Tribolium castaneum: one gene and its partners. The protein of the gene in region 1 purifies or fractionates together with the protein of each later gene. This does not show direct contact. Links are inferred from orthologs where the notes say so. Each region holds a gene or a part of one and is shown on either strand. Other genes may lie near its edges.

Evidence for each region. Proteins that work in one complex are often made in the same cells at the same time.
Region 2: the proteins of mitochondrial intermembrane space import and assembly protein 40 (region 1) and cytochrome c oxidase assembly factor 7 homolog purify together in Homo sapiens (co-immunoprecipitation; 3 studies listed by BioGRID and IntAct, with this or other methods). This does not show direct contact. The link is inferred for Tribolium castaneum from reciprocal best matches to the Homo sapiens genes CHCHD4 and COA7.
Region 3: the proteins of mitochondrial intermembrane space import and assembly protein 40 (region 1) and Tim10 purify together in Homo sapiens (co-immunoprecipitation; 4 studies listed by BioGRID and IntAct, with this or other methods). This does not show direct contact. The link is inferred for Tribolium castaneum from reciprocal best matches to the Homo sapiens genes CHCHD4 and TIMM10.

What each region holds. Positions count from the first base shown.
Region 1 is NC_087396.1:19,228,585-19,232,178, forward strand, and holds mitochondrial intermembrane space import and assembly protein 40, read right to left. Parts: upstream 1,944-3,594; 5' UTR 1,844-1,943; intron 1,776-1,843; exon of another isoform or gene 1,644-1,775; intron 1,516-1,643; 5' UTR 1,214-1,515; coding exon 970-1,213; intron 917-969; coding exon 747-916; 3' UTR 604-746; downstream 1-603.
Region 2 is NC_087401.1:15,101,548-15,104,398, reverse strand, and holds cytochrome c oxidase assembly factor 7 homolog, read right to left. Parts: upstream 1,508-2,851; 5' UTR 1,417-1,507; coding exon 1,317-1,416; intron 1,255-1,316; coding exon 971-1,254; intron 922-970; coding exon 687-921; intron 641-686; coding exon 531-640; 3' UTR 501-530; downstream 1-500. Other genes in the region: inner nuclear membrane protein Man1, read right to left, coding at 2,030-2,129, 2,179-2,590, 2,639-2,851. UniProt on the Homo sapiens protein: Required for assembly of mitochondrial respiratory chain complex I and complex IV.
Region 3 is NC_087394.1:33,997,219-33,999,442, forward strand, and holds Tim10 (mitochondrial import inner membrane translocase subunit Tim10), read right to left. Parts: upstream 998-2,224; 5' UTR 858-997; coding exon 603-857; 3' UTR 501-602; downstream 1-500. Other genes in the region: probable RNA-binding protein 19, read left to right, coding at 1-103, 158-266, 314-481.

The DNA of each region.
Region 1 (3,594 bases):
AAGCGAACTAAATTAGTAAAATTAACTAAGCTTTCTTTACCTCTTCAATGCATTAATTGCTACATGATTAGTACAAATATAGTTAAAAAAATGCACATTCTATGCTAGAATCACTTGTACAGCTTGAGTGATTGAAAGCAACTACTTTTTTTTATTCGTGCTAATTTTAATATTTTTAAGACATTAAAGTAGATCTGATCTCTACCTTTTATTTATTTTTAATTATTTTAGTTTTATTCAACGCATACTTATTAGTTCCACACCACTTGGTATCAAGTAGAAAAAAATCTAATGATTACGTAGATATAACAGTTATAACAACATAATATTTATTCATTATGTTTTTTGCTTTTCCAATGCTATTTTTAAATTAACTTAATTCCCTGAAATTTTTATGTTATTCTGTATTTTTAATGACAGAAACAATCAAGTCTAATAACCAATGGTTTATTTACCATTTTATATCAACCAAGTAATATTTTCTGTACTTAATTTACACTGTGGCTTTAAAGTATCAAATTCAAACGCTACGGTGAGGGTTGCCAACTTAATTTCACTGACCAGAGCTTAAATTGCAGTTCATGGTATTCGCAAAACAAAACAAATGCAAAACAAATTTATTAAAAAAAAACTTTCAAACGTTACAATTGTGTAGTAACATTCATGTAACAATTAGAAAAAACTAGACAAATTAGGAAAGATTGTCTTCTTAAACTATAACAAAAACTAGATTAGCCTTTAAGTTCTTATGATTTTTTGTCCGACTTTGGAGCGCCTTCAGAACTAGGCGCTGCGCTTTTGTCGCCTGAATCCATCGAGCTAAAGTCATCATCGTCGGCTAAGTCTTTGTTGTACAAAGTTGGATATTTTTGCATACAATTTTGCATGGTCTTAAATAATTCATAGCAATCGCTACCTAAAAAATAATTAAATTCAGCCGACTTGCAAACTTTTTTCCGACTAATCCACCTTTAGGTTCCGCCTCGGAATAGTGAAAACAACTAAATGCGTTCCTAAACTCCACCCCACAGGGCCCCGTTGCCATGCCCCCTAGACAGGGGCAGTTCCAGTTGATGTCCCCGTTTGGGAGGATCAGCCCTGGCTGGGGGTCAGGCTCTGGCAGAGTCACAGTGCTTGGGACCTTGTGGTCCTCTGGGGTGGCAAAAATCACTATATCCTTGCCCTGGGGCCCTAATCTTTGGCAGAAAGACATTTCAGTGCTCGTATTCTCGACTGTCACCCTGGAGATTCAGCAAAATGGGGCTGGTCTTATGAATCTTGTAGGAACAACTGATGTTGTTGTAGCTACCACACAGGGTTAGACTACTGCGGATTTTCACGTAGTATTCGGAGGGTACTCTTAAAATACCGCGTTTGATCGCTAGATTGTATCTTAGGACGTCTATGTCTACACAAGCTGCAGATTCTCCAAATAACGCAGACACTGCATCAACGATGTGTTTTTTAAAGTACGCGTCTGTTATTACCTCATAGGCGGTATTATCGTGCAATCTCCTGGAACAAGACAATTATTAGTGCGATAAATGGGACAAACGTGGTTGAAAGTGAACTAAATTAAATATACTAACAAGGAAACGTCTAAATAATAGTATTTGCTCATTCTAATTTACATAACTACTTGCCATTGAGGAAAATTACTGTTTTAAACCGGGAAATAATTTTCCAGCGAATTTAACCTACAAAAAGCTAGAATCAGCAGGAAGGCCACCCGTGGAAACGTAAAGAGACTAGCTAATTTGGTGAACAATACATAAAAATTATGGGATACAGTAAAATGCCTCAATGGTTACAACTGTTGATCAATTAGTGCAAAATAACTTACAATTTATTTCGCAAATAAATAAGAAAATGTTTTTCGATGTTATCTAAAGGTTGGGGACATTGGATTCGGATCACTTGACTGGCTTGACAGATTTCTTTATCCCACTTGTTTTACTAGCTATAGGTTTGCCTCCAAACTGTAGTCAATATGTGCATCCGCTGGTTCATAGATGGCAGGACGTATTTCAATTCTCTATTTTTTACAAGCATTCAAAAACTAATAAATTATACTTATAATTTGATAAAGTAATTAGTATTTTAAAAAGCAAAAATATTGTTTATTAGCTATGCAGCTAATTCTGCATAAAAATTAAAATTTTCTTCCAGGAAACTTATGGAAAACTTAAGAATTCTCCTCAGTTGATCTGAGTCGTTTTTTAACAGAGTTGTGAAAACTAACACAAAATTATCGTTTTTAAGAAAAATAAAGCAACCTAAACCATGTCCAGTTTTGTTTTTGGTTGTAGTACTAACAGATATTTATTATACAAAACGATAAAAAGATTGTTAAATAAATTAAAAAAAAATATCTACCCTTGTGGATACTGTGATATTTTATCTTTCTACTGATGTTCTTAATACAAGTTTTCTTTGGTAATTTTCTTAAGTACTAAAGCGTAAATTTTAATAAAAATTAAAACTATTTACAAATTGACAGAAATAACATTGTTTGAAAGAAAAAAAAGTAGAAATTTGTTGGTCAGTGATTCATAGTTTATAAATAGAAAAATAAATTGTTTTGTGACATTATGTTTCATTAGATGCTAATTCTGTTTGATAACAACAAAATTAGAAGCTAATTTCAGTCCATTTACGTATTTAAAGTCTGGAGAATCATTAATTTATTTTAATTACACAGGTACTCAGTAATAACAATATAATGTAATTTCAAATCATTCGTAAACTTTAAAGACCTCTCCTTGACCACCCACAGTGCAGTTTCGTTTCGACGAAAAACTTTCTGATAGTATTTCCAACTAGTGTATCTAATTCTCTAATTGTAAAAGGATCTGCAGACGTCCTTCGTAATAACTTTCCAAACTGGAACTTTTATAACCATTAGCGTTCCTTACAGTTACAGCAAAACATTGTCTGAAATAATGGATTTTTTACGACTCAAATATAATAACTTCGGCATTTATTGTACTATTGATTAATACTGAGACGAATATCTGACACAATAACTACACGTTTAAAACGGTTGGGCAAATTAAAAGTTTGATTTTGCAACACGAGCTCAAAATAATTCGGTGTGTCTTTCAGATAATAACAGCTTTCGACATTTGTGTCGCTCATGCGTGAATTAGTGCAGTTTCACACAAAAGTACGTTTGTAAACGCATTTGGGTTTATTACGTTGCCCATTTTTAAATCTTGGAACAATAAGCATTATTTATATTTTCAAGTGTCCCACTAAAAACAAATGATTACAAAAACATACATTATTGTTCATTGTGTGACGGCTTAGAGCACTTAAAATATGATGAATCTTTATACCCAAATGAATTTAATTGTTGATGGTGAAAACTCATTAATTACGGCAGAGGCTTTAACAAAGGCCAGATCTACTTTGGAAGTCTTTGTTATCTACCTAGCCATTGTCTTCGTTTATTGCAGGCATCAGGTAAATTGCGTCTAGTTTATATTTTAAGAACCCTCGGTATTATTCAGCGAAATAACCCAATTATAACAAATATAAATTACGGGCGCCGACGACAAAGATTTTATCATTCGTTAGAATAAATTCGCATTT
Region 2 (2,851 bases), on another chromosome or scaffold:
CCTTCCCAGGGCTAGATTTTTTTTAAATATTTTCCTATTGTAAATAGAGTCTTAATTGCTCTTTTGACCTGCACATTGTTGAAAAATATAGAAAAAAATGAAAAAACCTTTTAAAAAATCATAAAAAAAACAATTTTCTAACCCCTTCTCAGGGCTAGATTTTTTTCAAACTTCTTTATAGTGTAGAGTCTTACGACCTTTTCACCTACACTAACAGAAAAGTGTCACATTGTTGATATCACATAGAAAAAAATTAAAAACCTTTGAAAATCATTCAAAATTCAACTTTCCCAGGACTAAATTTTTTCCGATTTTTTTTCATATCTAGAGTTTTGAATGTTATTTCGACAATTGCATAAAAAAATCAGTCGATTATTTTTTTTAACATTTCGGGACTGTTTGGCGTTTATTTCCTTTATTGATGTAATTACATAAAGAATAAACAATATTGAACTGGTCCGCGGTACTAGCGCCAACTTGAGGTAAATGAAAACACCAAATAACTAACAAAAATTTATTTCGCTATTATTTCACGTGAGCCCCTCCTGAAACGACAAAGTCTTGCCCCCTTGAATATCCTCCTGCATGTCCGTCGCGATTTTGCGATATTTCGCCGCCAGTTCGGGATTTTTCTCGACTCCTGTAACCAAAACTTAGGGATTTTTACCACGTACTAGACTACCAACCGTCTCCTTTGGCATACATCTGGCTGAGGTTGGCGCAACTGTACATATTCCCCAACTCGCAGCCTTTCAACGCGAACTTAAATGCTTGTTTCATGTCTTTGGCGACGGCGTATTCAATTTTATCACTGGAAGTGTCTTTGGGGGATTTACGGACCCCGGCAATGTACATCCCCGATAAATAATAGCACGCGTTGCTGTGTTCCGCGTTACAGGACTTTTCCAGTAGTGCCATCCCCTTGAAATTAAATTAAGTTATTTTTTTTTTTGGGGGGAAAAATAATTACTTTGATGGGGTTTTGGGCAATCCCCTGCTCCTCGTTTCGCGTGATTAGGAGCAAGCCTTGATGGAAGCACGACGTGGGGTCGCCTAGTTCGCACCCTTTATCGAAATAACCGTAAGCGGCTTTAAAATCGGACTTTTTCGCCCCTTTTCCAAGCAAGGCATAAGTGGCGTATTTGGAGCAACTTTTCGCATATTTATAGTCATCGCACGTCGTCTTGTACACAATCCCGGCCTTTTCGTAGTTTTTGTCGATCGATTCCAGATAATCGGCCAGTAAATGGCACACTGGAACCAATCATTACGTGAATTGTTACGAAACGGAAAAGTGGGGTTATGGCAGTTTTTACCTTCGGCCTTTTTCTCGCTGTAACAACCGAAGCGGTATTCTATGCCTAAATTTTTGATGAACTCCTTCACCTCACTTTCCGACTGGAAATTGTAAGCCATTGTTCGGAAAATGACGATTAATTTTGGTGAAATGAGAGTGACGTTTAAACTACTATGCGCGCGTTTGAACTATTCTGTCACGTTTTGTAAACTACTCATTTATTTATTGATAAAATAATATACAGAGTGTTTGAGGTAAATTGCGACAGGCGGGGGACCTGATTGTGACACAGGGCACATTCCAAGCCCAGTTTAGGCTCAAAATTCAAGGTTATTGATTTAATTATTTAATTACCTTCGGGTTTTTTGTCCCTGTAACATCCGACTTTGTACTTGAAACCAAACTCTTGAACGATTTCTTTCGTTTCCACGTCACTATTTTGCATCATTTCGGGTTACAACATAATCAAAGTCAAATATTTGCCAGTACATTAGGCCTACTTGCTATACGGGGTGCGTCAAACAAGTCGTATACAAATACAATTTATTAATACGTATTGAAAAATACAGTTATAAATTTCCTAGCTGAATGAACTTAAATTGTCTTAAAATCAACATTATTCCTAGAATTTGTTAATGCTTAACCTATTTTTCAACGAAACAAGTAACACGCTATCAGTCGTAAAAGTAAAAACGTTCGTTTTGTTAATAAATAATGGAAAAAACAACCAAATTATTGTAAAAACGGGGGCCCACTGACCGGCGAATCGGGAAACCTCTGCATATACCTCTCCAGCCGCACATATTTAACAGTGACTAAATTTCCCGCGTACCTGCAACAGCCAATCAGAGCCGGGCTCAAACTGGTTTAGTCCAGCTTACCACCACCCGTGCAGATTCCTGTACGCCACCGCAGCGTCACTCGGCTCCGCACACTTCAAGTAGACACAATTCGAATTCGTGTCAACAACGCAGTGCAAAATCCGACACTGTTGTGCACATTTACTCAAAACTGCTTTCTTGATCACGTGGGTGTTCCTATCGCCATCTTCGACCATCCCTCGTATTTTCAAACATGGCGTCGGCGAGTATGGCAGACTGTTTACAGAGCCAACTTGCGTTTCGAACGCTTGGCCTTGCCAACTTTTGTTTTTGGAAGTGTTTAAATTATTAGCCCCGCCTAGCCATCGCCACACCTGCTCCACCTCCCCTTGCACCACCTTCTCCTCGGTTCTGATGCGCGATTCGTTCTCGTGGATGTAGCGCACGGCGCGCATCCACAACTTCTGCTTATCTGGAAAATTGATTAGTGAGAGGGGGCGGGGTTTGGGCGGAGTCTCACTTTTACGCTCGTTGATTGGGAGGATCATGTCGCGGACGTGGTTGATTATCATGCAATTGTCGCCGTTTTCCGTAGCGTTTGTTTGAAGGATGTCTATAATACTTTCGACAATTGATATTTCTTCTTCGTGCTGCTTCTGGCGGATTTGTTTGTAACACTTGAAGGCGTAGTTAAGGGAGTAGACGAGCAAAGCCGCGCCCAGAAATGACGTCA
Region 3 (2,224 bases), on another chromosome or scaffold:
TTGTTAAAAAAAGCACCAAAGCAACGAAACAAACAGGAACCAAGATTTTGGTTCGAAATATCCCATTCCAGGCTAACCAGAAGGAAATTAGGGAACTTTTTAGGCATTTTATTAAAATTTAATTGTACTACTAACATGACTTAATTAATTGTTTTAGTGTTTTTGGCGAAATTAAAGCGTTAAGGCTCCCAAAGAAAATGGCCTTGGATGGGGGCTCACATCGAGGTTTTGCGTTTGTCGATTTTGTGGCAGCCTCTGATGCCAAGGTGAATTAATTATTAATTGTAACTTGTTAGCATAATTATTTTTTTAGAATGCATTTGAGGCTTTGTGTCAAAGTACCCACTTGTACGGTCGGAGACTAGTTCTCGAGTGGGCCTCAAGTGAGGACAGTGTGGACGATATCAGGAAGCGAACAGCGGCTCACTTCCAAACCACTGAAGCAGTCAAGTCGAAGAAAAGTGTTTTAAGCATTGATTAATTAAAAATAAAAACTACACTTTGTCTAGTCAAGTTTATTACCTCTAGAATAAACCAACATTACAAAATTAAATTACAAACAAAAACAAAACATAACTAAGTCCAACTACGGGGCGCTCCAATTATTTCTTAAGAAGTTGCTCGTCTTGCATTGAAAGTTGGCCAAGTTTCTTGCCAATGCGTTCATGGATGTCTAGAAATTTGGCCACACATCTATCAATGCAAACGGCTTCGCCTTTGGCAATTTCCGCGTCGTTGTAAACGGGAGGAATGCACTTTTTGTGGCATGCTGTAGTTAGACGGTTGTACATGTCTGCCATCATTTCGATTTCCAATTCTTGCATCAACTGCAACTTTTGAGCGTCACTCTCTGCCATTTCAATTCCGTGCAAATGTGACGCGTTATTAACGATAATTAAGTTCGAGGAGTGTGACGAGGACCCAATTCGTAATCACCAACGTTCGAGAGTCGCATGCGTTCCCTTATTTTCATATTATCATAACGCCTTTTCTCAACACTGGATTTGGACAAGTAGAACAAGTAAATACCAAACGTTGTACATATGGTCCTGCGAACCGACAAATTATTGCAATAAAACGATTTTTCGGTGCGAAAGTGAGGTTATGGTCAGTCGTTGCCTACTTTTGGAACTTACCATCCAATTCCTATTTTTGCATGTGTCCCTAAGCGCATACTTCCACCAATGCCTTAACTCATTATTTAACAAACTAGGAGTTGTTAAAAATATCAAAAATCGTGAATTTTTAAAATTGTGGTTATGCTCACATGGACTTTTGCGGTTACGTTGCGTGTACGTTCGTTGCGTTATGGAAGCACAAAAAGTCTAGTTTACACGTGATTTCCATTTATTTAAGGGATGGTTTACAACAAATCTAATAGAAATCACAGTAGAGATCTATTTTAGTTTGCCCTAACCCTTGGTCAGTTGAAATTTGATTTTTGCATTTAGCAGCAATTTGCTCGAAAACTATTAGTCGGAGAACAATAATATTTTTTGAAAAAAATAGATAATTTAAAGAGCTTTCCAACAATAATACACATCATGGGGTTATCTCTAATAGTTCCGGAGCTATTGCTCGACAAATGTTCCGGGTACCCAAAATCGACAAAAACTGCGACGAAAATTGAAAAAATCAAACATCAAAAAATCGAACATTTGGACTTTTTGTGGACTTTTAACAACTTTAGTGGGTTGTTAAGACATGTAGAAGTCCATAAAAATTTGCTGAAGTTAGTTTAAAAAAATTTTTTTTTTCAACTTTTTGAAGGTACTGTATTTTACTCAGGAAATTTGGGCAAAAAAATTAAAATTTTAAATCTCGTGAAAAGTTGGTATAATACAGAAAATAAACCGCTGAATTCAATGGAACAAACCGCATTGCTCTACGACTTTTAGTTTTTGAGTTATGAATTTTTTTAATGAATAAAATTTTTCAGTATGACAAATGGCTACCCTAAATTTAGGCAAAAAATTTTAAATTTTTAATTCTTGTGAAAAATCGATATAATATGTAAAATGAGCCGTAGAATTCAGTGGAACAAACCGGAATTCTCTACGACTTTTAGTTTTTTTTTTATGAATTTTTTTAGTGAAAAACTTTGATCGCCTCTGTAGCCGGAACCGTTGCCCGGAGCGGCTCCGGGTTTGGTCGAAAAAATAGATAAAATTAAGCGCTATCAGATGGTTTTTTGTTCGTTGCTCTAAGTCTTACAGTTTCCGAG